Linked DNA regions of Anolis sagrei. The protein of the gene in region 3 purifies or fractionates together with the protein of the main gene of each other region. This does not show direct contact. Links are inferred from orthologs where the notes say so. Each region holds a gene or a part of one and is shown on either strand. Other genes may lie near its edges.

The links.
Region 1: the proteins of UBE2O (region 3) and NAP1L4 purify together in Homo sapiens (affinity purification with mass spectrometry; 3 studies listed by BioGRID, with this or other methods). This does not show direct contact. The link is inferred for Anolis sagrei from reciprocal best matches to the Homo sapiens genes UBE2O and NAP1L4.
Region 2: the proteins of UBE2O (region 3) and BUD23 purify together in Homo sapiens (affinity purification with mass spectrometry; 5 studies listed by BioGRID and IntAct, counting the BioPlex papers as one, with this or other methods). This does not show direct contact. The link is inferred for Anolis sagrei from reciprocal best matches to the Homo sapiens genes UBE2O and BUD23.
Region 4: the proteins of UBE2O (region 3) and EPB41L5 purify together in Homo sapiens (affinity purification with mass spectrometry; 3 studies listed by BioGRID and IntAct, counting the BioPlex papers as one, with this or other methods). This does not show direct contact. The link is inferred for Anolis sagrei from reciprocal best matches to the Homo sapiens genes UBE2O and EPB41L5.

The regions. Positions count from the first base shown.
Region 1 is NC_090021.1:246,256,342-246,263,798, forward strand, and holds the start of NAP1L4 (nucleosome assembly protein 1-like 4), read right to left. Parts: upstream 3,010-7,457; 5' UTR 2,890-3,009; intron 1-2,889. UniProt on the Homo sapiens protein: Acts as a histone chaperone in nucleosome assembly.
Region 2 is NC_090031.1:33,213,241-33,220,580, reverse strand, and holds the start of BUD23 (18S rRNA (guanine-N(7))-methyltransferase), read right to left. Parts: upstream 3,012-7,340; 5' UTR 2,959-3,011; coding exon 2,911-2,958; intron 1-2,910. Other genes in the region: TBL2 (transducin beta-like protein 2), read left to right, coding at 3,101-3,332, 3,457-3,581, 3,723-3,907, 5,973-6,124.
Region 3 is NC_090022.1:119,358,635-119,365,954, reverse strand, and holds the start of UBE2O ((E3-independent) E2 ubiquitin-conjugating enzyme), read left to right. Parts: upstream 1-4,314; 5' UTR 4,315-4,440; coding exon 4,441-4,854; intron 4,855-7,320. UniProt on the Homo sapiens protein: E2/E3 hybrid ubiquitin-protein ligase that displays both E2 and E3 ligase activities and mediates monoubiquitination of target proteins. Negatively regulates TRAF6-mediated NF-kappa-B activation independently of its E2 activity.
Region 4 is NC_090021.1:223,336,289-223,343,517, reverse strand, and holds the start of EPB41L5 (band 4.1-like protein 5), read left to right. Parts: upstream 1-4,210; 5' UTR 4,211-4,729; intron 4,730-7,229. UniProt on the Homo sapiens protein: Plays a role in the formation and organization of tight junctions during the establishment of polarity in epithelial cells.

The DNA.
Region 1 (7,457 bases), on a different chromosome or scaffold from region 3:
CTGAGCACAGGGAGAATTGCTGCAAAAGAAACCATACTACAGGAAAGGGGAAGCATTTTATTTATTAGCAGGAAATAGAACCTGTTTACTCAGGAACAGAAAAAAGTGATCATATTAAGATTACTTCCTTGCAGCATAGTGGAGTCTCCTTTTCTGGAGATTTTAAAGCAGAGGCAGTATGGCCATCTGTTATGAGTGCTTCCTGCATGGCAAATGGGGATGTACTGGATGGTCCTGGGGTCTCTTCAAACTCATATCATTCTAAGGTAAGATGGTAACATGCTCCATTTTGAAAGATTTTTTTCTTTTCTTTAGATAACCTTCTATGGGAGAATTTCAGTCCTAACAATATAGTCCTAAGTAAATAATAAAGTGAATAAGACTGATCCAAGCTTCTGATCAACACCACAACAGTGCTTCAAAAACAAGGTTCACATCGGTTGAAACAGCTGGTTGAATCTACTTGTTTAGGAAATGATTAAACTTGATAAAGTCCGACTAAGCTTAAGGTATTTCTACATCTTTTATCTAACATACTTTCCCCAACTCCAACAGAGTATAAATCAACTATATATCTGTACCTGTAAGATGTTACCTCCTGCAAAGGCTACACATAGCAAAGCCAAAGTGCAAGAGAAAATTTAACTTCTATTACAGAACTGGAAATCACAGAGGCATAGACATTTACAGGGAAGGGTGAAAAATACCCTAAAAGCACCGGATTCTGTCTAATATCAGAAGTTAAGAAGGATCAACCCTGGTTGGTACTTGAATGGGTGACCAATGAATAACAGGTGCTATAGGCCCTATATTAAAGGAAGGAACTGGCAAAGACCCAGAGTATTTCTTAACTAAAAACTATATAAAATTTGTGGCATCATCATAAGTCAACAGGCAATGTGAAGACACATATTGTTGTTCTAGTCCATGGAATGAGTGGGAAGGGGTGTTCTCCAAATACTCAGTCAGCCTACATTTCCTAATACAGTGGTTCCCAATCTTTGGTCCTCCAGAACTCCTAGAAATTTGAGTAAGCTTACGAGCTTTAGGAATTGAGGAAGCTGAAGTTCAAAAGACTTGGAAGACAAAGATTGGGAACCACTAACCTAAAGGCACCAGATCTTGTCTGACCTTGGAAACTATGCAGGATCAGCCTTGTTTAGCACTTGAATGGGCCACTACCAATGAATACCAGGTGATAGTCTATATTTCAGAGAAAGGAACTGGGAATTCCTTGTCTGAGAAAACCCTATTAAATCCATGGGGTAGCTATAAATTGACAGGCAAACCGAAGGCACATACACTCAAGAAAGCAAGCAGAGTGTAAGACACCAGGGTGGAAAAAATAACTCCCAGGACAAGTGCTAACACAAATAAAATCAGGGTTGGTAAAGGTGCGTTACGGCAAAGCTTTGACACTTGTAGGAAGAGAGATTTCACCTAAACATGAGGATGAACTTTTTCATGGTAAGAGTTGGTTGATAGTGGAATTCACTGGGGCAGAGCCTCCTTCTCTGGGCGTTTGCAAGCAGAGGTTGGATGGCCATCTGTCATGAGAGCTTTGATTGTCAGACTGGAGTTGGACTGGATAGCCTTTGTGGTGTATTCCAACTCTAATTGTATAGCAGAACCTTGTGTGTGAAAAAAGGTCCCAGATGAAGCACTCCTATTAAGAACATGCATGTTGGTAACAAGAGAGGGCACCAGTTACCCTTATATCAGTGGTTCCCAACCTGTGATCTATAGATCGCCAGTGATCCCCAAAAATGAAAATATGGTCCGCAGCCTCACTATTACTACACCTTTGCATCAAAACCACACGGCAATGAGAGCAACGGGTCTCATGAAACCATCTTATAGTGTTGAGGCAACAGGGATGTCGGGAGGGGAGCGGCTGACTTCCCATAAAAGATTACTACTACCACACTGGCTCTAGATTACTAAATATGGTTTTCTGTAGGCAAGCAGTTGGCAACTACTGGATGGCATATGTTCTGTATCAGAAACTAGAACTGATATGATCTATCCAATGCAATTTTCGGAATCACCACCCCAAATAACCAAACCAAATCTAAAGTTGATAAAAAAAACTTATTTGTAACCCTCTTGATATTAATGTTGGAGAGTGGTCCCTGGTCAAAAAAGGGCTGGGAACCACTGCCTTTTATGTGGCAAGCCTTGCTTTCTGCTGCTCTGGAGACGAGGACACGGATCCATGGATTCAAACCGCAGGAAAAGCGATTCCACCTGAACATCAGGAAGAACTTCTGAAGGCGAGAACTGTTCGGCAGTGGAACATGTTGCCTCCCCGGAGTGTGGTGGAGTCTCCTTCTGTGGAGATTTTCAAGCAGAGGCTGGGTGGCCATCTGCCGGGAGGGCTTGGATTGTGCGCTGCTCCAGCTAGCTCTGTGACTCCATGATTCCACGGGCTGTGCTTCCGAGCCGCTTAAGGGCGCCCCTTTCCAGTCCCCACCTTGCCTTCGCGGCCCGTTCTCAAGCGGCGGGGCCTGCCCCAGGCCGGACGGAGAAGAAGGCCCCGGCCACATGGCGGAGGAGAAGGAAGGAAGGAAGGCGGGGAGAGGGCTCGGGGCGGAAGGCAACGAGGCCTGAGCCGAGGGGAAACGCCCAGGAAAGTTGAAGGGAGCGAGGAGGGCCGGGCCGGGCCTGCCCTCAGGGCTCAGGCCTAGAAGGGCCCTCCGGGAGCCGTGGCCGCTCCTTAAAATGGTGCCCGCGCTGGGACTGCCCCGCCCGCCCACTGGTTCCCCCTCCTGGTCAACCGGGCCGCGGCCGAGAGCAACGAGACCCGCCGCCGCCGCCTCCCTCGCCTCGCCGCCCCGCCCGGCAGAGCCCTCTCCCCGAGGCGCCCGGCCCACTGCCGCCCGTCCTCACCTGGCCCGGCCTCGGCGTCTCCTCACGGCCGCAGCACCACCACCAGCAGCAGCAGCACCAGCGCCCAGGCTGATCCCTCTCACAGGCTCGCTCGGGGCTGCGCCGCCCTCAACAAGACCGCCTCCCATTGGCCGAGGCAGCCGCGCCCCGCCTAGTAAGAGCCGCCCCGATTGGCCCGAGGTGAGCCGCGGCCGCTGCTCCACACGCGGGACATGTTGACTTTCCGGCAGTAAAGGGATTAGCCAATCGCTGCGTCAGGAGGGAGGGAAGGAGGGGGAAGCCCGGTCGCTGCGCATGCGCGGGATGGGGCCAAGCGCCAAAGACTCGGGCGATGCAGGGGGGAAGGGGAGCGGGAGAGGCTCCGGCGGGGGGCGCGTCTGCATCTAGTTGCACGGATTCGACTGTGACAGCACTTTGACAGCCACGGCTCAGTGCTACGGGATTGTGGGATTTGTAGTTTGGTGAGGCAGAGAAGACTAGAGTCCTTGAAAAACTACAACTCCCAGGATTCCATAGAATTGAGCCGTGGGAGTTCAAGTAGTGTCAAACTGCATTCATTCTACAGTGTAGGCACACTCTGTCTCCTTTTACCCGAAATACTTGGGGGAGCAGAAGTGTTTCAGGTTTTGGAATATTTTCATATAGATAATGAGACATCACACTGGCAACGAAGATCCACATAGTTAAAGCAATGGCAGGCATGTAGCCGGGGGGGGGGGGGGGGAGGTTGAAATTCTGATGGTGGTCCGCGAGAAGGCCTTCCTGGTACATTATTTAAACTGTTATGTTTATTCATGTCATGATCTGATCACCATACTCAATATATCTCATATGCATGGGGGTATTGGGGTAACGATACAAAACGTTTGCTAGGGTAGACCCTCTTTCACTCAGACTCAGCCCCCCCCCCCAAAAAAACAAACTCAGTCCCCACCCCCCACCCCCCCAAAAAATCCTGGCTACGGGCCTGAGCAGCAATGGTATTCCCCCTGTAGTAACCTACGGATGTGAGAGCTGGACCTTAGGGAAGGCTGAGCAAAGGAAGAGAGATGCTTTTGAACTGTGGTGTTGGAGGAAAGTTCTGAAAGTGCCTTGGACTGCGAGAAGATCCCACCAGTCCATACTTCAGGAAATAAAGCCCGGCTGCTCATTGGAGGGAAGGATAGCAGATGCAAAGATGAAGGAGTTTGGCCACATCATGAAAAGAAAGGAAAGCTTAGAGAAGACAATGATGCTGGGGAAAATGGAAGGAAAAGGGAAGGGGGGCCGACCAAGGGCAAGATGGATGGATGGCATCCTTGAAGTGACTGGATTGACCTTGAAGGAGCTGGGGGTGGTGACCGCCAACAGGGAGCTCTGGCATGGGCTGGTCCATGAGGTCACGAAGAGTAGGAATGGAAACATTTAAACAAATAAATAATGATATCTTGGAGTTTAATATATAAAACATAAAAAAACCTATTTGAGAATGTTAGTGTTACCTTGTTGTTTGGGACCTTTGAGTCATGTCCACCTTATGATAATCCTAAAGTGAACTATAATTGGCTTCTTATGAAGCTGAGTGGGTTTACATGGCTGAGTGGGGAGTGGGGATTCAACAGAAGAGTGTTCCACACTCTCCTCTGGACCAATATGGGAATGCCAGCATGTCAGTAGTTGCTACTATTCTTATACTGGGCTCTCTCAACCCTTTCCCCACAAACCTGTGAAATAAGCAACAGCAACGAGGAGACAAAAAAAGAAAGGTGTGTCCTTTTATACATATGTAACAGCAAAGAGGAAAGCAGAAGTAGGGACTAGGAAGTGGGCTTTAACAATGGTCTAGTGATGGCGCAAGTCTGACATAAAATCCCATTTTATTTTATTTTATCTTGCAATTATTTCATGTAGTGAAGGCTCAAAGCTCTAATAAATAGCCCATGTTTTTCATTGGTACATAAATGAGACTAATAGTGGCAGCCTGGACAGAGCATTCTAGAATGGGAGTGGCATGCCTGAAAAGGTATTGTCCCAGGTCCTCATGAAATGTATTGATCTCACTGATAGGACACAGAAGAGCTTCCCTCCCTCATCAGACACCAACCCTTAAGCAGGTAGAAGGATTGTAGCACCACACTGTTATACCACCGTGATCCTACTTTAACTGGCATTTGTCATAAGATTTGTAATTTGGTGAGGCACCTACATGAACTGTCTGGCTGAGATTTCTAAGTGTCCTTCCCTATACTGCAAATCCCTGGATTCCATAGGAAGTTATTATTATTATTATTATTATTATTATTAACTTTATTTGTACCCCGCTAGCATCTCCCGAAGGACTCGATGCGGCTTATCAAGTTGTGATGAGTTGTCATTTAAATGTTAAATGAGTGGAATTCTGCATTCAGAAATATATACATACGGCAGTGCCTCCAAAAGCCCACCGTGTACGCAGTGCAGCCAACCTTAATATGGCAATTTCTGTATTGTATTTTTAGAACAGGAGAATTAGCAGGGCAACAAGTATCTGCAGGTACCTCTGGGTTTCCTTGGGAGGTTACTGCAGAAATTCAGTGAGGATGCCTCCAGTTATTTTCCTGTAGTAAGATATGCTACAAGAATGCTAGACTAGACGGGCTCTTAATCTGATCCAGACAGCTCTTCTTTATCTTCTAACTATTCCAAGCCAGAGTTTGGAAGTGATGAACTAAATTTAACAATTCTGAACTTAAAAGTCTTTGCTTTGGGAATAATTAATTTTAAGAAGTGATTTTCCAAACTCTGGACCACAACGGTAAGTGTCTTCTGTATCACTTTTCCTCCTCCTCTTGAGGACATGAATACTGAGCATCTTTTTTGGCTGATCCAAATAACACATGTACAGAATTCACAGAACTCTGTGGCAGGGTATCCTATGTATGCAACCTTAGCAAGGCCATTATAGACACTACTACAGAGCAAAGTCATACCTACCTAAAGTAATGAAAGCAATGCATTTCAAAAAGTAAATTGTAAAATATTCATAGACTGGTGTTGCCTGAGTGTTGGAGGAGCCACTGTCCCCTGCTTTCATCCTTTTTCTTTCTTTCCTTTCTTTCCCCTCATACCTTTTACCCTTTTCTTCCATCCTTTCTGTTTCTTTCTTCTTCCATCCCCTTTCCTTCCTTCCTGCTTACCCTTTCCTTCCTTCCCCCCTCCCTTCCTTCTCCTCTCCTTTCCCTCTTCTCCAGCTCTGAGAGGACCTAACTCGCAATGTTTCCATGGTACAAGGTGCTCTTTGTGGCTCTTTCCTTCCTTCTTCCCTCCCCCTCATACACGTCACCTTTCTTTTCCAGTGACTTCACACAGGGCTGCTTCACCTAGCAACTGCCTTTGTTGTACATATCAACAAAAATGCACACTTTGACTTTAATATATAGATAATTATATAAATGACTCATTGCAAGTTAGATATTGGCACGTATAAGCCTTAGACCGCTATGTACTTACAAGTGAAATGCTCACCATAAGTGGGAACGATACAAAGATGTTGTGCAGGTAGTTGTTCACCTGTGTGGCTCACAAGGTAAATATGGTAAGCTATGGCACTTAAAGGTGTTGTAGATTGTCTCCTAGAGATGCAAATAGCTCTGTGATGTGAGCAGGAATGGATATGATATAGGTGATGATGCCACAAAGGCACTGATGACTGAAGCGATGGAAACCAGTGGTAGCACCTTATGTAGGCCATGGGAAAAGATCCCGAGGAAGGGGCTCCCATAGAAGTGAGTTTAGGGAAAGAGCTCAAGGCAGCAGCAGTCACAAAGCACAGCCACACTTGAACAATACAATTTGATGCACCATCAATTTATGCTGGCAGCTGAACCAGCAAGTATTAGGCCGGCCATATGTGCACATGAACTGTGACCTCAACTTGATGTGGCTCAAACTAAGCAATTCAGTTTTCACTGAAGTGAGGCTGCTTGATGACCTCAACCAACCTATATAGCTGCTTGGGTCAGGGCCAATTTGTACGATGAGCTGGCTCAAGCCATAAAGCGCATCAGGGAGAAAGCTCAGCTGAACCTTTCTCTCCCATGCAGGAGAGAGAAGAGTCTTTGGCCATTAAGAGGGAGGGGCGGAGTGTTGTTCCTTAAATTAACACATATTACCTTACATGTAAAATGTAGAATAGGGGGTCGAAAGTAACCTGCACTGTAGTTGTGGCACGACGTAGTGGTCATACAGGATTCCATTGTCTATTTAGTGGAAAAAAAATTCGTAAGCAGATGTAATATGTGCTTGACATTTTACTTGGCTAATTGTATTATTCCTTATAAATTAATATGAGGGCTCGTATTCTGTCTAACATTTGCAAATTGTAAATCAGATTTTGTAATTCTGCCACTTCACATTTATGGATTCACATTTTCAGTTTGTTACTGACCGGATGTGACAACCTTAAAACTTATTTCTTAAGCCAGGCAACACTACAGCCTGTGGGGTTTCTGAAGCACTGCAGATCCCAGCTGTAGAGAATCATAACTTTGATGCTCTCCCAGGACACAGCCTGTTGGGTTTCACCCCTGGACTGCACAAGTACTTGTTTC
Region 2 (7,340 bases), on a different chromosome or scaffold from region 3:
CTTCTCTAGGCTTTGCTGTCTCCTCATGATGTGGCCAAAGTACTTCAACTTTGTCTCTAGTATCTTTCCCTCCAGTGAGCAGTCGGGCTTTATTTCCTGGAGGATGGACTGGTTGGATCTTCTCGCAGTCCAAGGCACTCTCAGAACTTTCCTCCAACACCACAGCTCAAAAGCATCGATCTTCCTTCGCTCAGCCTTCCCTCAGGTCCAGCTCTCACATCCGTAGGTGACTACAGGGAATACTATGGCTTTGACTAGGCGGATCTTTGTTGCCAGTCTGATGTCTCTACTCTTCACTATTTTATCGAGACTGGACATTGCTCTCCTCCCAAGAAGGAAGCGTCTTCTGATTTCCTGGCCACAGTCTGCATCTGCAGTAATCTTTGCACCTAGAAATACAAAGTCTGTCACGGCCTCCACGGTTTCTCCCTCTATTTTCCAGTTGTCAATCATTCTTGTAAATATTATATGTATATACAATATATGATATTATATTATTAATAAAGCAATATAATACTACAGCAATATAATACAGCAGTACAGCAGATGATGTCCAAATCTGTCACTCCTTTCCACCTGTCACCAAGGAGGCTGTCCAGACCTTGAATCGGTGCTTGGCTGCTGTGTCGGACTGGATGAGAGCTAACAAATTGAAATTGAATCCAGACAAGACAGAGGTCCTACTGGTCAGTCGAAAGGCCGAACAGGGCATAGGGTTACAGCCTGTGTTGGAAGGGGTTACACTCCCCCTAAAGGCGCAGGTTCGCAGCTTGGGTGTGATCCTGGACTCATCGCTGAGCCTGGAACCTCAGGTCTTGGCGGTGGCTGGGAGAGCTTTCGCACAATTAAAACTCATGCGCCAGATGCACCTGTACCTTGGGAAGTCTGACTTGGCCACAGTGGTCCACGCTTTGGTTACATCCCGTTTAGATTACTGCAACGCTCTCTATGTGGGGTTGCCTCTGAAGACTGCTCGGAAGCTTCAAATGGTCCAACGATCAGCAGCCAGGATGCTAACAGGAGCGGCACTCAGGGAGCATACAACTCCTCTGTTGCGCCAGCTCCACTGGCTGCCAATTTGCTACCGGGCACAATTCAAAGTGCTGGCTTTAGCCTTTAAAGCCCTAGAATCATAGAATCAAAGAGTTGGAAGAGACCTCATGGGCCATCCAGTCCAACCCCATTCTGCCAAAAAGCAGGAATATTGCATTCAAATCACCCCTGACAGATGGCCATCCAGCCTCTGTTTAAAAGCTAAACGGTTCTGGCCTGACCTATCTGTCCGAATGCATCTCCTCCTATGAACCGGTTAGGATATTAAGATCGTCTGGGGAGGCCCTGCTCTCGGTCCTGCCGGCTTCACAAGCATGCCTGGCGGGGATGAGAGACAGGGCCTTCTTGGTGGTGGCCCCTCGACTCTGGAACTCCCTTCCACTGGAGATCAGAACTGCCCCTTCAATCTTAATGTTCAGGAAACAGGTGAAGACTTGGCTTTGGGGATTGGCATTCGATGAATGAGCCATTTTCCTGTGATATGGATGGATGACGACGAATAATGACTTTTGATGACGACTGACCACTGTAATTATATGATTGTATTTGCTATTTTAATGTTTTAGTGTGATTCAGAATATGAGGTTTTAATGACGGTCTGTAACATTGATGTTGGAAACCGGCCTGAGTCCCTCGAACGGAGGTGAGAAGACCGGTATACAAAACTGCCAATTAAATAAATAAATAAATATACACAATATATTATATTATTAGTAAAGCAATATAATACTTGTAAAGAAATATAATAATAATAATACTAATAATGGGACAGAAATGTAGAAAAGGTTAGAGCAGAGCTTTGCAAAGCTTTTCTACCTTTTTTTGAGGACTACAACTCCCAGAATCCTCTCCCACAGGAGTCTGCCATGGAGATTCTGGGAGGTGCAGTGCCAAATAGAAAGCCACATAGAATCATAGAATCAAAGAGTTGGAAGAGACCTGGTGGGCCATCCAGTCCAACCCCATTCTGCCAAGAAGCAGGAATATTGCATTCAAATCACCCCTGACAGATGGCCATCCAGCCTCTGTTTAAAAGCTTCCAAAGAAGGAGCCTCCACCACACTCCGGGGCAGAGAGTTCCACTGCTGAACGGCTCTCACAGTCAGGAAGCTATTCCTCATGTTCAGATGGAATCTCCTCTCTTGTAGTTTGAAGCCATTGTTCCTTGTCCTAATGGAAGCAGAAAACAAGCTTGCTCCCTCCTCCCTGTGGCTTCCTCTCACATATTTATACATGGCTATCACGTCTCCTCTCAGCCTTCTCTTCTTCAGGCTAAATATGCCCAGCTCCTTAAGCCGCTCCTCATAGGGCTTGTTCTCCAGACCCTTGATCTGCTCCGTCCTCCTCCCTGTGGCTTCCTCTCACATATTTATACATGGCTATCCTATCTCCTCTCAGCCTTCTCTTCTTCAGGCTAAACATGCCCAGCTCCTTCAGCCGCTCCTCATAGGGCATGTTCTCCAGACCCTGGATCTGCTCCCTCCTCCTCCCTGTGGCTTCCTCTCACATATTTATCCATGGCTATCATATCCCCTCTCAGCCTTCTCTTCTTCAGGTTAAACATGCCCAGCTCCTTAAGCCGCTCCTCATAGGGCTTGTTCTCCAGACCCTGGATCTGCTCTCTCCTCCTCCCTGCGGCTTCCTCTCACATATTTATACATGGCTATCCTATCCCCTCTCAGCCTTCTCTTCTTCAGGCTAAACATGCCCAGCTCCTTAAGCCGCTCCTCATAGGGCTTGTTCTCCAGACCTTTTATCATTTTAGTCACCACCTTCTAAGGGACTGGCTTGCTTGCCCAGCTTCACCCCAAACCTTCCCTGACTCTCCCTTTCGAGTCTTTCCCTTCTTTCCCTCACCAATTCAGGAGGACCGCGATGCTCTGGCCGCTTCCCAGAGGCCGCCATTTTTGTCCCGGCTTCCTTACGTCAAATCCGCGCGACGCGCTCTGGACCAATCCCGCGGGGGCTGGCGCGCACGCGCAGGGCAATCTCGAGAGTGAGGGTGAAGTGCGCATGTGCACCTCGAAGGAGGACTCTACACCGGCGCATGCGCATCTCTCTCCCTGCACGTGAGGCGACGTCTCCTGACGTGGCGAGCGGAGGAGGGAAGATGGAGGCGGTGCCGCTGCCGCTGGCGGGCCTCTCGCTGCTCTTCGGCGGCCTCCTCGCCCTACTTTTCCTTCTCCAGCGGTGGAGAAGCGGCCCGAGCCGCGAGCAAGCCGAGACCATCGCGAAGGGGCGAGGCCAGGCCGAGCAGGAGCCCAGCGGCGCCGGAGAAGGTGAGGGGGCGGGGCCTCGGGAGTCTAGGCCACGCCCACGCTCCGCCTTCAAACCCATCTATACCGACGATCATGCCATCACCGCCAAAGCATTTTTCGATCTATTTTGCTTCATGTTTTCTAGATTTAGACAGTGAAACGTCCAGCAAAACCTCTCTGGTGAAGAAACAGAAGCAGCATCAGCGTCTTCGGAAAGAGAAACCCCAGCAGCACAGCTTTGCCCACCCCCTCCTGGCAGCCGCACTGAAGGTGAGCCCTAAGGTTCATCTAGAGGGCTGAAGTTTGCCCAGGTCTGTTGTTTTGCTTCCTCTCCCCATCGCAAGACGTCTCTGTCTGGAGAGATCGAGAATCCCATGGCTCTCTCTCTCTGGTTCTCCTTCCCTTCCTCAGGGCCACAGCGGGAGCGTCACCTGCCTCGACTTCAGCAGCAACGGGAAGTACCTGGCGTCCTGCTCCGACGACCGGACTGTGCGGATATGGAGCACCAAGGACTTCCTGGAGCGGGAGCATCGCTACATGCGGGCCAATGTGGAGCTGGACCACGCCACTTTGGTCCGCTTCTACCCAGACTCCAAGTAAGGGGGCAGCTTACTTACCCGGCAGCAACTGCTGCTCTGGCCAGAATGAAGAGAGAGGGGGCTACAGTTGAAGACAGTTCCATCTTGTCTCCTTGTTACTAATAATATAATATATTGTATTGTCGAAGGCTTTCATGGCTGGAATCACTAGGTTCTTGTGGGGTTTTTCGGGCTATAGAGCCATGTTCTAGAGGCATTTCTCCTGACGTTTCGCCTGCATCTATGGCAAGCATCCTCAGAGGTTGAGAAGGTCTGTTGGAAGTAGGAAAATGGGTTTATATATCTGTGGAATCACCAGGGTGGGGCAAAGAGCTCTTCCCTGCTGCAGTTAGGTGTGAATGTTTAGCTGATCACCTTCATTAGCATTTGAAGGCCTGCCTGAGTCTGGGAAAATCTGTTGCTGGGAGGTGTTAATCTGTGCCTGGTTGTTTCCTCTCTGTTGTTTAGCTGTTATAATTTTAGAGTTTTTTAATACTGGTAGCCAGATTTTGTTCATTTTCATGGTCTCTTCCTTTCTGTTGAAATTGTCCACATGCTTGTGGATTTCAATGGCTTCTCTGTGTAGTCTGACATGGTGGTTGTTGGTGTGGTCCAGCATTTCTGTGTTCTCAAATAATATGCTGTGTCCAGGCTGGTTCATCAGGTGCTCTGCTATGGCTGACTTCTCTGGTTGAAGGAGTCTGCAGTGCCTTTCATGTTCCTGGATTCTTGTTTGGGCGCTGCGTTTGGTGGTCCCTATGTAGACTTGTCCACAGCTGCATGGTATACGGTAGACTCCTGCAGAGGTGAGAGGATCCCTCTTGTCCTTTGCTGAACGTAGCATTTGTTGGATTTTCTTGGTGGGTTTGTAGATTGTTTGTATGTTGTGTTTCCTCATCAGCTTCCCTATGTGATCAGTGGTTCCCTTGATGTATGGCAGGAACACTTTTCCTCTGGGTGGATCTTCATCTTTACTCTCGTGGCTTGTTCTTGGTCTTGCCGCTCTCCTGATGTCTGAGGTGGAGTATCCATTGGCCTGGAGAGCCCAGTTGAGGGCTCAACAAATACAATATAATATATTGTATTTAGATATAATATTCATAATATTATAATGTAATACAACATAATACTAATAATATAATATTATAATTATATATATTTATTACATGTAATATAACTAATAATATTACAATATGATGGAGTAGTACAATTTTACTTACTTAGGCGATCCCTCGTTGTCCGACTAGGATAATCCTCCAGGGTGGGTCCATAGCTGGCTGTGGAGCCCTATCTTGATCTGCATCTTCTCTCACAGTGAGGGCATTGGTTTCCAGGTTGAAGGCGGTCTCGGTCAGGGTTGGCATGACGTGCCTTCCTCTTGGCACGTTTCTCTCTTTCGCCCTCCATTCGTGCCTCTTCAAATTCCGCAGCACTGCTAGTCACAGCTGACCTCCAACTGGAGCGCTCGAGGGCCAGGGCTTCCCAGAGTTTTTATGGTTGGCTTTGAGCCCATCTTTCAATCTCTTTTCCTGCCCGGCAACATTCTGTTTTCCGTTCTTGAGTTCGGAGTAGAGCAACTGCTTTGGGAGACGGTAGTCAGGCATCCGGACAATGTGGCCATTCCAGCGGAGCTGATGACGGAGGACCATCGCTTCAGTGCTGGTGGTCTTTGCTTCTTCCAGCACCCTGACGTTTGTCTGCCTTTCTTCCTAAGAGATTTGCAGGGTTTTTCGGAGGCAGCGCTGATGGAATCGTTGCAGGAGTTGCATGTGACATCTGTAGACAGTCCACGTCTCACAGGCATATAGCAGGGTTGGGAGGACAATAGCTTTATAAACAAGCACCTTGGTATCCCTACGGATGTCCCAGTCCTCAAACACTCTCTGCTTCATTCGGGAAAATGCTGCACTCGCAGAGCTCAGGCGGTATTGTATTTTGGTGTCGATGTTGACAATTAAGAAGGAGGTGGAGCCTTGGAGGAGTGGAGTGGGCCATTTCACAGTTTTGATGATTAAGGGTGCATCCCTACACTGGCCTGTTGCTTCTCTGACTTGCATCCCAGGCCTGTCTTTTCTTCCCACAGGGCCTTCATTGCCTGGCTGGCTAATGGAGACACCCTCCGGCTCTTCAAAATGACCAAGAAAGAGGACGGCAGCTTCACGTACATCGCCACGGCAGAGGATTTCCCGAAGCAGCACAAGGCCCCCATCATCAACATTGGAGTCGCTGACACCGGTGAGGAAACATGCTGCTTCTTGGCAGGGGGTTGGACTGGATGGCCCATGAGGTCTCTTCCAACTCTTTGATTCTAGGATTCTATCACATCCAAGGCCTTGGCAAACACTTCCTCTGCCTTGGCCCTTCTGCCTTCTCTTTCCTTTAGCCAAGTCTGTTTGTTAATGGTTAATTAACTCTGCTTAGTTACACAAATGAGAAATAGAAAGCTTAGATTAGGGGTCCTCAAACTTTTTAAACAGAGGGCCAGGTCACAGTCTTTCAAACTGTTGGAGGGCCGGATTATAATTTTTTTAAAAAACATGAATTCCTATGCACACTGCACATATCTTATTTGTAGTACAAAAAACACTTAAACAGTACAATAATTAAAATGAAGAACCATTTTAACAAATATAAACTTATTAGTATTTCAATGGGAAGTGTGGGCCTGCTTTTGGCTCATGAGATAGGGTTGTTGTTGTTGTTTTTGTGTGCTTTCAAGTCATTTCAGACTTAGGTTGACCCTGAGCAAGGGCCGGGTAAATGACCTTGGAGGGCCACATCCAGCCCCCGGGCCTTAGTTTGAGGACCCCTGGGTTAGAGGTTTGAATCCAGTGAGAGTGTGGATGAGCTCCCTCTGTCAGCTACAGCTCCCCATGTGGAGACATGAGATGGTGATACAATCAGCAAGTGAATAAAACAGGTAGCAGTTTCAAAGTTTAAAGGTTAAATATCCCTGATCCAAAATGTTTGGGACCCAAAGTGTTTGGGATTTTTTAAAATTTTGTGTGTGTGTTTGTGTGTGTATATATATCCATCCCGTTTTTCTCCCTAATGGGGCCCAAAGCGGCTCACAACGTAATACAATACAAATCAAAGCACATCTATATAAATAAAAATGTAATGTTCGTTTGTGATATTCACAGAACTCAAAAACCACTGGGGGAATTGACACCAAATTTGGACACAAGACACCTCACAACCCAATGTATGTCCTTCACTCAAAAAATTGATTTTGTCCTTTGGGAGTTGTAGTTGCTGGGATTTATAGTTCACCTACAATCGAAGAGCATTCTGAACCCAACCAATGATGGAATTGAACCAAACTTGGCACACAGAACTCCCATGACCAACAGAAAATACTAGAAGAGTTTGGAGTTGTAGTTCACCTACATCCAGAGAGCATGGTGGACTCAAACAATGATGGATCTGGACCAAACTCTACACAAATACC
Region 3 (7,320 bases):
ACTGAGGGACAAGAAAGTCAATGCCCTCCAAAGGTTGTTAAATTCATCAGTTGAGGCAATGTTGAGGATAGATGGGAATGCAGTCCAACATCATCAAAGGGCTCTCCTATTCTGCCACTTGTAATATTATACCATTCTGTCTCTCCAACTTATGTGATTTGGCATGTTCTGTAAAAAGAAGGGGAATACCATGCTGCTTTCCTGCCATCAGCAGGTAGGAATCATTGCCCAGGTATGGTAGAATATCCTCACCACCCCCATGTAGTATTGGTTTAGTCCCTTTAGTGTTTGTTAACATGTATTTTTCATTCAGCTTTAGAAAGTTAACTCCAGGGTCATGGAATTTTGACTCTACAATCTGAATAACACACAGCATTATACAAGACATACCAGACAACTTAACCACCCAGTAATTCTGAGTACATGACAACACTACTCCTTAGAAATTTCTAGTAACATAGGCAACTCAGTATATCACACTTTTACTTCACAGGAACCTATGGGTAAGAGATATCTCTACTTATTACTGTGATTCCAGTTAGAAAACAAAATATCCACAAGATGGAGCCAGAGTTTCCAGAAAGAGAGAGGGAGGGAGGGTGGGACAAGCAGCAATAAAGGATACAGTTGTGCCCAGAAGCTGAATTACACCTCTCCTGGGCCACTGGGGCTTCTTGCTATTTATACGATAGCTGAAATGAAAACCCAGTAATCTGAACCATAATGGCTATTTTTCAAGCAAAAGCAAAATATAAAAAAAACTTAGAATATTTGGAGAAGAAAAGTACACACTAAAGGAGATGGAGAAACAGGAGTTCAAATGTCATGTACACATATACATCACATTGGGGGTAAATTGGGATGGGACACATATGGCCTTCAATTGATGGGCTGCAACTTCTATTATGTTATACTGGTTAGGGCCGATGGGAACTGAAGTTTATCATCTGGTGGACTAAACATTGCTCACTCAGTTTAATGCTTTGCATTACTGTTCTAAAAACAAAACAAAAATCCCATACATAATGGATTAGAAATATAAAGGCAAAATATGATACTGCATAGAGAACTCAAGTAGTTTCATTTTGCCCTGAAGACTTAAGTTTCACATATACACATCAAAACATCATTAAGATGATGGGACATTGTTTCTCTTTTGCTTTGAAGGGCATGGTTCTTAGAGACAAGACTTAAATGTAGCAACTTCTTGAGCTTTGTGCACCTTAGTAATATGAATCTCCACACTTGTTCCTAGGAACAACATAGAGATTTCAATGTAGAGCACGTGGATACCCTTCTATAACTTGGGTATGTGGGTTATCTTTTATAACTGTAAGATTAATCAGATCTTAAGAAATTATTTTTATGTTTCCCTTAGTTGCAGCTATCCATTTATACTATATTCATGTCCATGGAAGGATGCAACAATTGCACTGGGAATAAATCTTAAGAATGGCTGTTAAAGCCTCATATTTAAATTATTCTGTTAAAATACTTGCACAATATATTGTACAAAATTACACTGCCAGCCTTGATTGCTAAACACATTGAAGATAATGAATAAGACCTGGGGCGAGATTTTTTGTACAATTAAGAAATTAATGCTAAACTCTCAATAAAATCACTATACTGCCTCTACATTTATAACATTAATACTATCTCATTTTTTTCTCTATACAGAAACAAAGCTTCACTCCCCACAGCTTCTACTTAATTGGGCTTTTATATCAGGACCTCTTGCACTAGGATGACCATTAGACTCTTGTGAGCATGAGACATTAGCTCCAGAAACTCCCATTGCCTTCCCAGCTTCTGAATTTCCATGTCACAATTAGACTCCCTCAATTTGCTTTACATCTAAGCTAGCAGTGATGGATGTCCAAAGGAGTTAATTGAGAGTAGTGCACTCAAATTATTCCCATACCAGACTTTAAGGGTTTTCAACATCACAATAATAGTACCAAAATTATACCCTGATTATTTTTATTAGGTAAAGAAAACACCTCTCTCCTCCTTACTTTCAAATTTCAAAGCAACCTTTGAAATTGAGTGTATTCGATTTTGCTCTTCAGACAATGTTTCTCTCCCATGCCTTCAATTCCTCATATCCACACTCTTGCAGCCATCAATTTAATCATTGTGTTTATGCTTTGGCTCAAATTTTCTACTCCCCCCACCAAGACTTTCCCTCCTTCTCCTCCTGCATCTTTGCTGTTGTGTGTCTTCAGTCATTTCTGAAGTATACCAACTCTAAAGTGAACCTATCACAAACTTTTGGGGCATGACTTGTTCGGAGGAGGGGGCACCTTTGTCTTCCTCTGAGAGAGTGTGACTTACCCCAGGTCACTCAGTGGGTTTCCACAGCCAAGTGGGTATTTGAACCCTGGTCTCCCGGTCTTCACTCTATGCTCAAATCGCTGCCCCACACTGGCTCTCTTTCCCCATGATTCTTTCTCTGGGCCTAAGCTACAATACAGACCCAGAATGAGACAAAGGGGGCAAATGCACAACAGATGGCTTAATTTGAAATCCTCTTTTTCCCATTTTATCTTTGTTCGTTTGCTTTCCATTTCACTCCTTGTCCGCCTTCCCATTTTGAGAGCCACTCCCTCCATCTTCAGCAAGACACTCATGGACAGCCAACTTCAAATTACTTCCTGCCCCTAACAGGGAACAAAGCCAGGTAGGGGCCTTTGGGGGCAGACACTGGGGAAAGGAGGACAAAAAGGGAAGGAGGTAGAGACCCACCCCCAAAGGTCCCTCTACTACACTGTAGAAGGCCTTTGGCGTTCTCTGCTAAAGAGTGGTGGTGCCTCGGCAAGCTCCAAATCCTGGGATTTCATGGCATTGAGCAGTGATGGTTCCAGTGGTTTGGAACTGCCTTCATCTGTAGCAGGCATGGGCAAACTTTGGCCCTCCAGGTGTTTTGGACCTCAACTCTTACAATTCCTAAGAGCCTCAGGCCTTTTCCTTTTCTCTCTCAGCCGCTTAAGCAGAAAAGCTTAATGCCATCAATTGGGGACCCCTTCCCCCAGCACCAACTGCTGCTCTGGGCCAGAGTAAAGAGAGAGGGGGACAGTTCCATCTTGTCTCCTGCATATGTCATCAGCTGGGGACCCCTCCCCACAGCACCAACTGCCGCTCTGGGCTACAGTGAAGGGGAGGGGGGCAGAACACAGTTCCACCTTTTCTCCTGTGCTATTCTAATCATATAATATAATATATTGTGTATATACATATAATATTTATAATAATGTAATGCAATATAATAATATAATTATATATTTCTATTACATGTAATATTACTAATATTACATGTATAATATAGTAATATTTAATACTGATATTGTACTATGCTAATAATATAATATATTGTATGCATATCTTGTAAGCCGCTCTAAGTCCCCTTCGGGGTGAGGAGGAGACTCAGAGATATTTTATTTATGTCGTAAATAAATAAAATAAAGGGAAAAGGAAGGGGGGCTGAGACTGTTAGGAATTGTGGAAGTTGAAGTCCCAAAACACCTGAGGGGGGGGGGGGGAGGGGGAGTTTGCCCATGCCTGCTGGAGATGAAGGCAGTTCCCCACCATTTGAACCATCACGGCTCAATGCCATGAAATCCTAGAATTTGGAGCTTGCCGAGGCACCACCACTCTTTAGAGCAGTGGTTCTCAACCTGTGGGTCTCCAGATGTTTTGGTCTTCAACCCCCAGAAATCCTATCAGTTGGTAAACTGGCTGGGATTTCTGGGAGTTGTGGAGCAAAACACTTGGGGACCCACAGGTTGGGACCCACTGCTTTAAAAGAACGCCAAAGGCCTTGTAAAACTCCAGCTCCCAGGATCCCAGAGCATTCTGCCATGGCAGTTACAGACAAACTGCATGGATTCTGTCTTGTGGATGCGCCAAGACTAGGGAAGGGGAGCACCTGTCAGCTCCGCCTCTGCTTTGCCTCGTAGGGTGGGAAGGGGCGCCATCTTATGATGCTCTACTTGAGGCATCAAAGGCCTGTGAGCACCTTCTGGAGCCCTCCTCCTCCTCACAGAGACACGCTCGCGATTCTCCCTGTTTTCTGTGCTGTGTGCCACAGCCCTCTTCGGTTGTGAAAGCTGCCTTCCCTCTCTTCTCAGGCGCCGAGGCCTTCCCTCCATCCACCTCCATCCCCTTCAGAGAGGAAGATGTAGGCCCGTCCCTCTCCCCTTCTCCCTCCCTCCCTCCTCAGGCTGCTCTTGGCCCCGCCCCCTCCTCGCTTTGCTATTTGACGCGAGGCGTCGCCATCTTGGAGCCCCGCCCCCTACCGAACGCGGACTGCGCCTGCGCGCGCCGGGAAAGCGAGCAAGCGAGTGAGCGAGAGTGAGCCAGGCGGCCGCCGTCGCTGCTGCTGCTTCTCTCCCTCCCTCCCTCCGCCCGCCTCCTTCCTTCCTTCCTCCCCCCTCAGCCATGGCGGAGCCGCCACCGACCACCGGGACGCCGCCATCTCCAACGCCGCCATCAATAGCAACAGCAGCACCCGGCGGCGGCTCGCAGCGCCTCCTCTTCACCCATGACTTGGTCTCCGGCAAGTACAGGGGCTCGGTGCGCTTCGGCCTGGTCCGCGTCATGCACGGCGAGGACTCCGACTCTGAGGAAGACGACGGCGGGGGAGGAGGAGGAGGAGGGGGCGGAGGGGGAGGAGGACGAGGCCCAGCAACAGCAGGAGGAGGAGGAGGAGGGGGCAGCTCGGCGGGCTCGGAGTCCGGGGGCCCCGGAGGAGGAGGAGGAGGGGAAGAAGGCCGCGGGAGCCCCCTCCGCCGCGGCTACGTGCGCGTCCAGTGGTACCCCGAGGGCATCAAGCAGCACGTCAAGGAGACCAAGGTAGGCCCCTCCCGAGTGGGCAAGGAGCGGGGGAAAGGAGATGCCGAGGCAGGAGCAGCAGCAGCAGCAGGCCCTCTGTGGGCGTGGGCCTGGTGGGGGCTGCGGCAGGGGAGGAGGAAGAGGAAGGGCCGCCCTGAGGAACCTGAGGGAGGGTCGGGGGTCTTAAAGGAAAGTTGGCGAGGAAAGAGGGCGGTGGCAAGGAGGGAGAGCGAGGAGAAAGGACGGGGACATGCTCTCCCTCTGTGTGTGTGTATTCCTCACACATATATACAGATATATATATATATATATATATATATATATATATATACACACACACACACACACACATACAGATATATATATACAGATATATACACACACAGTTACGACTGTGGAATGACCTGCGGAAGAGCTCCAACAGCTAAACAAACTCAACACCCATCCCTTCTGGCAGGCCTACCCAGTCAACTTGCTATCATGTGTTTTGATTTGCACTCTATTGCCACGACTGGCGGAGGTGGGTGAGCGATGGGGTCTCCTCAGTGGTGGCCCCTCGCCTGTGGAACTCTCTACCCAGCATTCGAACAGTAGTAGAGGCAGCAATTGAGAATGAGACACAATTTATGTGAATGACAATGGACTGACCTGGACTACAATTTCAAACCTGTGTGATTTAAACAATGTTTGAGTAATTTTATGTTCTAATTGCTTTTATTGTTTATTACTGTTGTTGGCATTGAATGAATACCTGTTGACAAACTTGAATTGGAAAATGACTCTGGAACGGCCCAAGACGATGGAACTGATAAGGACTTGAATGAGAGGATATAGTTTATAGCTTTTAATATTGTTATTATGCACTGGCTTATGTCTAATTGCACTATAATGGTTCTTTTGTTTATCAATGTATGTATTTTTATGGCATCGAATTGTGCCGATTGTGTACGCCGCTCTGAGTCGCCTCCAGGCTGATATGAGCGGGATAGAAATAATGCAAAAAAAAAAAAGTTGTCAAGCCGCCCTGAGCCTCCCTCCGGGGTGAGAAGGGCAGGATACAAATATGCAAAATAAATATATGTCAATTTTGTAGCAGTGTTTGGTATAAGTTTTCAAATGTCTGTGCTTGGCAATGCAATTTAGTAATTTATTGTATTTTTATTTACTTCACTTGTATTCCGCTTTTCTCACTCGGGGGTGTGTGTGCTCAAAGCTGTTTCCAACATGTGTTGTTGAAAGCTTGCGTGGCCGGAATCACTGGGTTGCTGTGAGTTTTTCGGGCTATATGGCCATGTTCCAGAAACATTCTCTTCTGACATTTCACCCACATCTATGGCACGCATCCTCAGAGGTTGTGACCTCTCAACCTCTGAGGATGCCTGCCATAGATATGGGTGAAATGTCAGGAGAGAATGCTTCTGGAACATGGCCATACAGCCCGGAAAACTTATAGCAACCCGGTTTCCAACATATTTCTGACAAAACATAATGCCTCGCATACATATGAAACCTAACATAAAGCGAGAATAATATAACTATCAATTAGATCATACAAACCTAACAACATTTAAACATTAAAACATAGAATTAAAACATATTAATATAAATGGTAAAATCACATAATCCAGAAATAATGGTCCAAGGCCATGTATTTTTATGTTTGTTTGTTTGTTTTTTAATTAGTTGTACCCCTCCTTGAGCCATCAGGGAAGGCAGATAATGAATAAAATGTATTACTATTATTATGCACACAATCTCACACACATTGATATAGATATACATATACACACATAGGTTCTCTCTCACACACATACACATATATACACAAAAACATATATACATTTGCACATATATAGATACACATCCATCCCCTCATACGTACCCTATACACACACCCACACACATATATATACATACTCTCACACAAATAAATATTGCTAAAGATATATACTTTCTCTCTTACATACAGATATATACACACCCACACATATACTGAGTGTGCCAAAAGTCACAAAGGGGTTTCAATATTTAATAATTCCTTTGTGCTTTGTTTTTAATTTACAATGTTCACAAAAGCATATATAGAATATATAGGAAATGAAATTGAATTACATTATATATAAAATCTTTTCAAACAAAAATTTCAAAGAATTATTGAAACATTAGATGCCTTTGTGAGTTTTGGCCCACTCTTTGTATGCACATTTATATATTTACATACATGCACTCAAACATACGTATGCATACATAGATAAGCACACATGTGTACATATATATACTGTATATACACTCACGTGTATAGCTCACACATGCATATATGCATACATACATTCCTTCAAGAATGCTACTATTGATTGATATTATAAATACTGTATTATCTCAGGCCAGTGTGCTCTGAAAAAGCTGCCTTACATTGTCCACATTGCATTGTACAGGTTGTACAGTTTTCTATTTTGGAAAGAAAATCATATTTTTTTTCTCTCTCTC
Region 4 (7,229 bases), on a different chromosome or scaffold from region 3:
AGCGTTGCAGTAGTCTATACGGGATGTAACCAGTGCGTGGAGTACTGTGGCCAAGTCAGACTTCCCAAGGTACGGGCGCAGCTGGCGCACAAGTTTTAATTGTGCGAATGCTCCCCTGGTCACCGCCGAAACCTGGGGTTCCAGGCTCAGCGATGAATCCAGGATCACACCCAAGCTGCGAACCTGCATCTTCAGGGGGAGTGCAACCCCGTCCAACACCGGCTGTAACCCTACCCTGTTCGGCCTTACGACTGACCAGGAGTACCTCTGTCTTGCCTGGATTCAGTTTCAATTTGTTATTATTTCATTATTGGCGATTTGTATGAAAAAACCAATTAGGAACTGCCATTTATAATGAAATTTTGAGAGTTTTGTTAGAGCTTTGAAGTTTTCACCATCAGAACTTTAGTTTTGTAAGTACTTTAGAACCATTTAGAACCATGCATTGCCCAGGCTCAGGAGTATTGTGCTCCAAAATTCTCTCTGAATTTGGAAGTCCCAGAGTAGTTTGACGTGTTCATTTTCTGTAACTTTTTCAGGCTTGTGATCTCACCAGTTCTTTGTTGCAGGCACATGGTATTTGTGGCACAAGTTCCAATGAATCATCTGAGCAATGGTGTTATGCCTCTGCTTGTCGTCTGTCTGTGTGATCTTCTTGCAGCAGCTGAGGATATGATCTATTGTTTCATCTGCTTCCTTGCAGTCTACACTTGGCATTTGTCGTAGACTTTTCAATTCTAGCTTTAATGGCATCATCATCATCATTATTGAGTGGGCAGATCAAAAGACAACCTGGCAAAATGATGCAACCTAAAAGAATCCATCTTGTGCGACTGTGGAGCAGAACAGACAACTCAGCACCTGTATGCTTGGCAGCAATGCCTTGCCTTATGCATAAAAGAATTGTTTGAGGCTACAGACAATGTGGTCACTGTTGTCCATTTTTGGTCAAAAGATATTTAGCCGGTTGTGCTCCTTCTAGTTCTATCAGTTTTATACTATTTGAGGCAATGCTTTTGATATGAAAATAAATAAAATGATAATATTAATGTGCATAAGACATGGACAAACTTCGGCCCTCCAGGTGTTTTGGACTTCAACTCCCACAGTTCCAAACAGGGCTGAAGTTTGCCCATGCCTGGTGTAGAATCAATGAAGTCTGACCCTACTTGAAGTGCCATGGCTGAGTGCTATGGACTCTTGGGAGTAGTAGTTTTGCAAGGGCTTTGGCCTCCTCTGCCAAAGGGGGCTGGTGCCTCATCAAACTACACTTCCTGGGATTCCAGAACATTGAGCCGTGGCAGTTCAAGTGGTGCCCGACTGCATTCATTCTGCAGTGGAGATACAGACGTGTGTTTAGGCTTGGGCCCCAGCACCAAGCGATCTCATGATATAAGAGGTATGGGCAAACTTGGGCCCTCTCTCCAGGTGTTTTGGACCTCAACTCACACAATTCCCAACAGCCTTATTTATTTATTTATCATATCAGAAGTGAACCAATGTGTTTGAGAAAACAAAGATTAAAAACTTGGCATTATATTAAATGTCCTTTGACAAGTAGCTGCCCACTTGGAGTGCCTCTGGTGTTGCTATAAGGTCCTCCATTGTGCATGTGGCAGGGCTCAGGTTGCATTGTAGTAGGTGGTCTGTGGTTTGCTCTTCTCCACACTCGCATGTCATGGACTCCACTTTGAAGCCTCATTTCTTAAGGTTGGCTCTACATCTCATGGTGCCAGATTGCAGTCTGTACAGCGCCTTCCAAGTCGCCCAGTCTTCTGTGTGCCCAGGAGGAGGGAGTCTCTCATTTGGTATCAGCCATGGATTGAGGTTCTGGGTTTTAGCCTGCCACTTTTGGACTCTCGCTTCCTGAGGTGTTCCTGCGAGTATCTATGTAGATCTTAGAAAACTATTTATTGATTTAAGGGCATGCTGGCTGATATCTGAACAGGGAGTGGGCCAGAGATGTCACTGCCTTGGTCCTTATATATAAAACATATAAAAGCCAAAAAAAAAATGTGGCCATGTCAAATCACATACACAAGCAAATGTTGAGCTGCTACTTCCTGGTGGATGTCAGGTGGTGCAATACCAGCTAGACAGTGTAATTTCTCCAGTGGTGTAGGGCAGAGGCAGCCTGTGATAATGCAACATGTCTCATTAATAGCCACATCTACTATAGAACCGGGCTGTGTGAGAGCCAGCTGCATTAAATCACTACTGACCAAGAGGCCATGAGTTCAAAGCCAGCCTGGTCGGAGTGAGCGTCCGGCCATTAGTCTAGCTTGCTGTTGACATCTGCAGCCCGAAAGACAGTTGCATCTGTCAAGTAGGAAATTTAGATACTGCTTTATGCGGGGAGGCTAATTTAACTAATGTACGACGCCATAAAAAAAAAAACCTTCCAGCAGCGTGCAGAAGAATGAGGAAGTATTCTATCAAAGGACTTGGTGTCACAAATGGTGAAGCAGCAGCTAACCTGTGGCCGGAATCAAGCATACCCCCATGAAACCGGAATGCTGGAATGTTAAATTGCCTCTGTGTCTGTCTATATATGTTGTATGTCTAATTGGCATTGAATGTTTGCCATGTATATGTGCACGGTAATCTGCCCTGAGTCCCCTGAGGGGTGAGAAGGGCGGAATATAAATACTGTAAATAAATAAATAATGATATAATATTAATAAAGTTTATTTATACCCCGCCACCATCTCCCCAAGGGGACTTGAGGCAGCTAACATGAGGTCAAGTCCAAGAATTACAATAAAGCAAAGTAAAATACAAACAAGAAAATAATAAACATCAATGTAAAATGCAAACAATAACAAAATATACAATAAAGCAAACAAAATAAAATGGTAGAGGAATTAAAACACAGTGGACAGGCGAAATGCAAAGGATAAAATTTATAAAAACCGGGGTGAAATGAATAAATGGAGTAAGGTGTCTGAGCGGAGACTCAGAAGGGGCAAACAATGGGGTTAATCTTCACTAAGGGACGCAAGAAAGTGCATCCACAGGACAGATCTATACTGGGACGGACATGGTGTGGGGATTTGTGTTCATTCGTCAAAGGCACACCAGAAGAGCCAGGTTTTTAGGCCTTTCTTAAAGGCTGCCAGAGTAGGAGCTTGCCTAATCCCACTGGGTAGCGACTTCCAAAGCCGAGGGGCCACCACGGAGAAGGCTCTCACCCTCGTCCTGTGCTTGTGATGGAGGTGGGAGTGAGAGGAGGGCCTACAGGTTTGTAGAAAGAAATGCAGTCATGGAGGTAGGCGGGTCCCAAACCATTGAGGGCTTTGTAGGTGATAACCTGCACCTTGAATTGGGACTGGAAAATGAACTGGCACTAAGCTCCGAGCGTTACGGAGATGCCACAAAGGCGGCTGTGAATAAGGGAAGGGGGGGGAGTGATAGCGGGGAGAGAGAAGGAAGGATAGAAAGGAGGGGATGGTTTAGGGTTAGTGTTTGGGTTAGGGTAAGGGGTTAGGTTTAGGCTTATGGTTAGGGTAAGGGTTAGGGGGTGATAGTATGATAGCTGGGTCCAGAAGCTCCGAGTGGTTTGGGTTTGGGTAAGGGGTTAGGGTTAGGGTTACGGTACAGTTCAGGGTTAGGGGGTGGTAGTATGATAGGTGGGTCCAGAAGCTCCAAGCGGTTTGAGTTTGGGTAAGGGGTTAGGTTTAGGCTTACGGTACGGTTCAGGGTGGAGTGAATGTATGATAGCTGGGTCCGGAAGCTCCGAACAGTTTGGGTAAGGGGTTAGAGTTAGGCTTACAGTATGGTTCAGGGTTAGGGTAAGAGTTAGGGGGTGAATGTATGATACCTGGGTCCGGAAGCTCCGAGCGGTTTGGGTAAGGGGTTAGGCTTAGGCTTATGGTATGGTTCAGGGTTAGGGGGTGAATGTATGATAGCTGGATCTGGAAGCTCCGAGCATTACGGAGATGCAGCAAAAGTGACTGTGAATAAGGGAAGCGAGGAGGTGGAGTGAGAGCGGGGAGAACGAAGGAAGGATAGAAAGGAGGGGATGCTTAGGGTAAGGGTTAGGACAAGGTTTAGGGTTAGGATTTCACCGTTAAACCACTCTTACATTCCTTCTATATGATCTGTCTCCGGCCTGGCTTTCATTAGCGAAGTCTCTCTTGCGCAAAGAGCGCTCCCGAAGGAGCGGCGCGGCTTCCGGGCCCAGCTCCCCTCCTATTCCCCAAAGCGGGTCCCAGGCCCTTGGGGCAAGGGGCGTTCCCGTGGCAGCGTTGCCCGGCGGGTCTCTTGAAGGCGGCAATCCTCTTAGTGGGGAGGAAATCCCACGCCTGGCTGGCGGGATTAAGGCTCCGGGCGGGGGGGAGGAGGAGGAGGAGGAGGAGCATCTGCTCCAGGCGGCCACGAGTTGCGCCTCGGAAGGGCAATCCGGCGGGCGGGCCCTCCGGCTCTCCTCCCCTGCCTACTCCTCTTGGGCGGGAAAGGGCTCGCGGTTTCTTTTCCTCCCAGGAACAGAAAGGGAGGCAGCAGCCTTTGTGTGCTTTCCTGGCTCCAGCGCCGCCTGCCCGCCCGCCGGCCGAGTTTTCCTCATTCTCTGAAGGAAGAAGAAGAAGAGGAGGAGGAGGAGGAGAAGGAAGAGCTCCTCCTCCTGCTCCTGCCTCTCCTCCTCCTCCTCCGCGGCCATTTGCCTCCGCCCCTCGTCGCCAAACGGGACTCATTCGCCAAGGAGCGGCGGCGGCGGCGGAGAAGAAGCAGGGTAAGGGGTGTCGGCTTCTTCCCTTTTGGGGGGGTTTCAAGGGGAGGAGAGGCGGGAAAAAGGGGGGGGCACACGCGCTTGCAACCCTGATCTTCCCTCTCAAAAGGTAGGCATAGGCAAGGGGGACGCCTGCTCCTGGTGGAGTCCTGCTTTGGTTTTGTTTCTAGTTTCTCCAAACTAAAATATATAGAGACACACACACAGAGACACCGTCCCATCCTTCCCAGTGGATCAATCTGGAATATTGTTGTCACCTCCCCCTCCCCCGGGATCCCTCCAGGGGGCGCCCTCCCAAGGTTTCTTCCTCCCTCCAAACAAACCCATTTGCAGTGGTCGAGGAAACAATTAGTAGTAGGTTCTTCTTTATTATTTGGACCCAAACAAAGGGTCTCCTTTTAAACTTTCCAATTCTGGGTGGTTGTTTTTTTCAATTTGCCCCATCAAATATAGACCCAAACAAAGCTCCTTTAAAGGTTTCTGATTCAGGGTTGCTGTGAGTTTTTCGGGCTGTATGGCCATGTTCCAGAAGCATTCTTTCCTGACGTTTCGCCCACATCTATGGCAGGCATTTTCAGAGGTTGTGAGGTCTGTTGGAAACTAGGCAGGTGGGGTTTATAGATCTGTTGAGTGTCCAGTGTGGGAAAAAGAACTCTAGTCTGCTTGAGGCAAGTGTGAATGTTGCACTTGGCCACCTTGATTATCAGCTTCAAAGCCTCTCTGGTTGCTGCCTGGGGATCCTTTCTTGGGGGGGGGGGGGGGGTAACTGGCCCTGATTGATTCTTGTCTGGAATTCTGCATGATAGGGTTGTTGTGAGTTTTCCAGGCTATATAGCCACGTTCCAGAAGCATTCTTTCTTGATGTTTCACCCACATCTATGGTAGGCTTCCTCAGAGGTTGTGAGGTCTGCTGGAAACTAGGGAAGTGGGGTTTATATATCTGGAATGTCCAGGGTGGGAGAAAGAATTCATGTTTGCGTGAGACAAGTGTGAATGTTGCAATTGGCCTCCGTGTTTAGTATTGAACAGCCTTCAGCTTCAAGGTCTGCTTTACAGCCTGGGGGAATCCTTTGTTGGGAGGTCTTGACTGGCCCTGATTGATTCTTGTCTGGAGTTCTGCTTTATTAGGTTGTTGTGAGTTTTCCGCGCTGTAGGGCCATGCTCCAGAAGCATTATCTCCTGACCTTTCTGCATTATTGGTTTTTAAAACTCCCTCCCCAAAATGTAGACACCCAAACAAGGATATAAACAACAACACTCTGAAAACAGACATGAAAAAAATCAGGGCCAGCTAATCACCTCCCAACAAAGGATTCCCCAGGCAGGAAGCAGCCAGACCTTGAGACTGTAAGGCTTTTTAATGCTAACCAAGGTGATTAATTGAAACATCCACACTTGTTTCTAATAGACAAGAGTTCTTTCTCCCACCCCGGACATTCCACAGATATATAAACCCCCCTTGCCTAATTTCCAATATATCTCACAACCTCAGAGGATGCCTGCCATAGATGTGGTCAAAACGTCAGGAGAGAATGCTTCTGGAACATGGCCATACAGCCCGGAAAACTCACAGCCACCCAAGGATATCGCTCTTTTAAAACTTTCTAATTGTGGATTGTTGATTTTGAATTTCCCTCTAAATATGTAGAAACAGATGAGGATATCATACTTTTTTTAGTTGTTTATAAATCGAGAATATTGTTTTGAATTTGCTATTAGCAGGTAATAATTTGGGGGAATTCAAGTTGTTTCCTCCAGGCTCCTTCCAAACTCCAGATATCACTTTCTACCTTTGTATACAGCATGTGTATACAAACATGATGGCCGAAAGCGAGGAGGAGCTGAGGAGCCTTCTAATCAAGGTGAAAGAAGAAAGCGCAAAAGCCGGGTTGCAGCTAAATGTCAAAAAAACCAAGATTATGGCAACAAGAATGATAGACAACTGGAAAATAGAGGGAGAAACCGTGGAGGCCATGACAGACTTTGTATTTCTAGGTGCAAAGATTACTGCAGATGCAGACTGTAGCCAGGAAATCAGAAGACGCTTACTTCTTGGGAGGAGAGCCATGTCCAGTCTCGATAAAATCGTAAAGAGTAGAGACATCAGACTGGCAACAAAGATCCGCCTAGTCAAAGCCATGGTATTCCCTGTAGTCACCTACGGATGTGAGAGCTGGACCTTAGGGAAGGCTGAGCGAAGGAAGATCGATGCTTTTGAGCTGTGGTGTTGGAGGAAAGTGCTGAGAGTGCCTTGGAGTGCGAGAAGATCCAACCAGTCCATCCTCCAGGAAATAAAGCCCGACTGCTCACTGGAGGGAAAGATACTAGAGACAAAGTTGAAGTACTTTGGCCACATCATGAGGAGACAGGAAAGCCTAGAGAAGACAATTATGCTGGGGAAAGTGGAAGGCAAAAGTAAGAGGGGCCGACCAAGGGCAAGATGGATGGATGGCATCCTTGAAGTGACTGGACTGACCTTGAGGGAGCTGAGGGTGGTAACGGC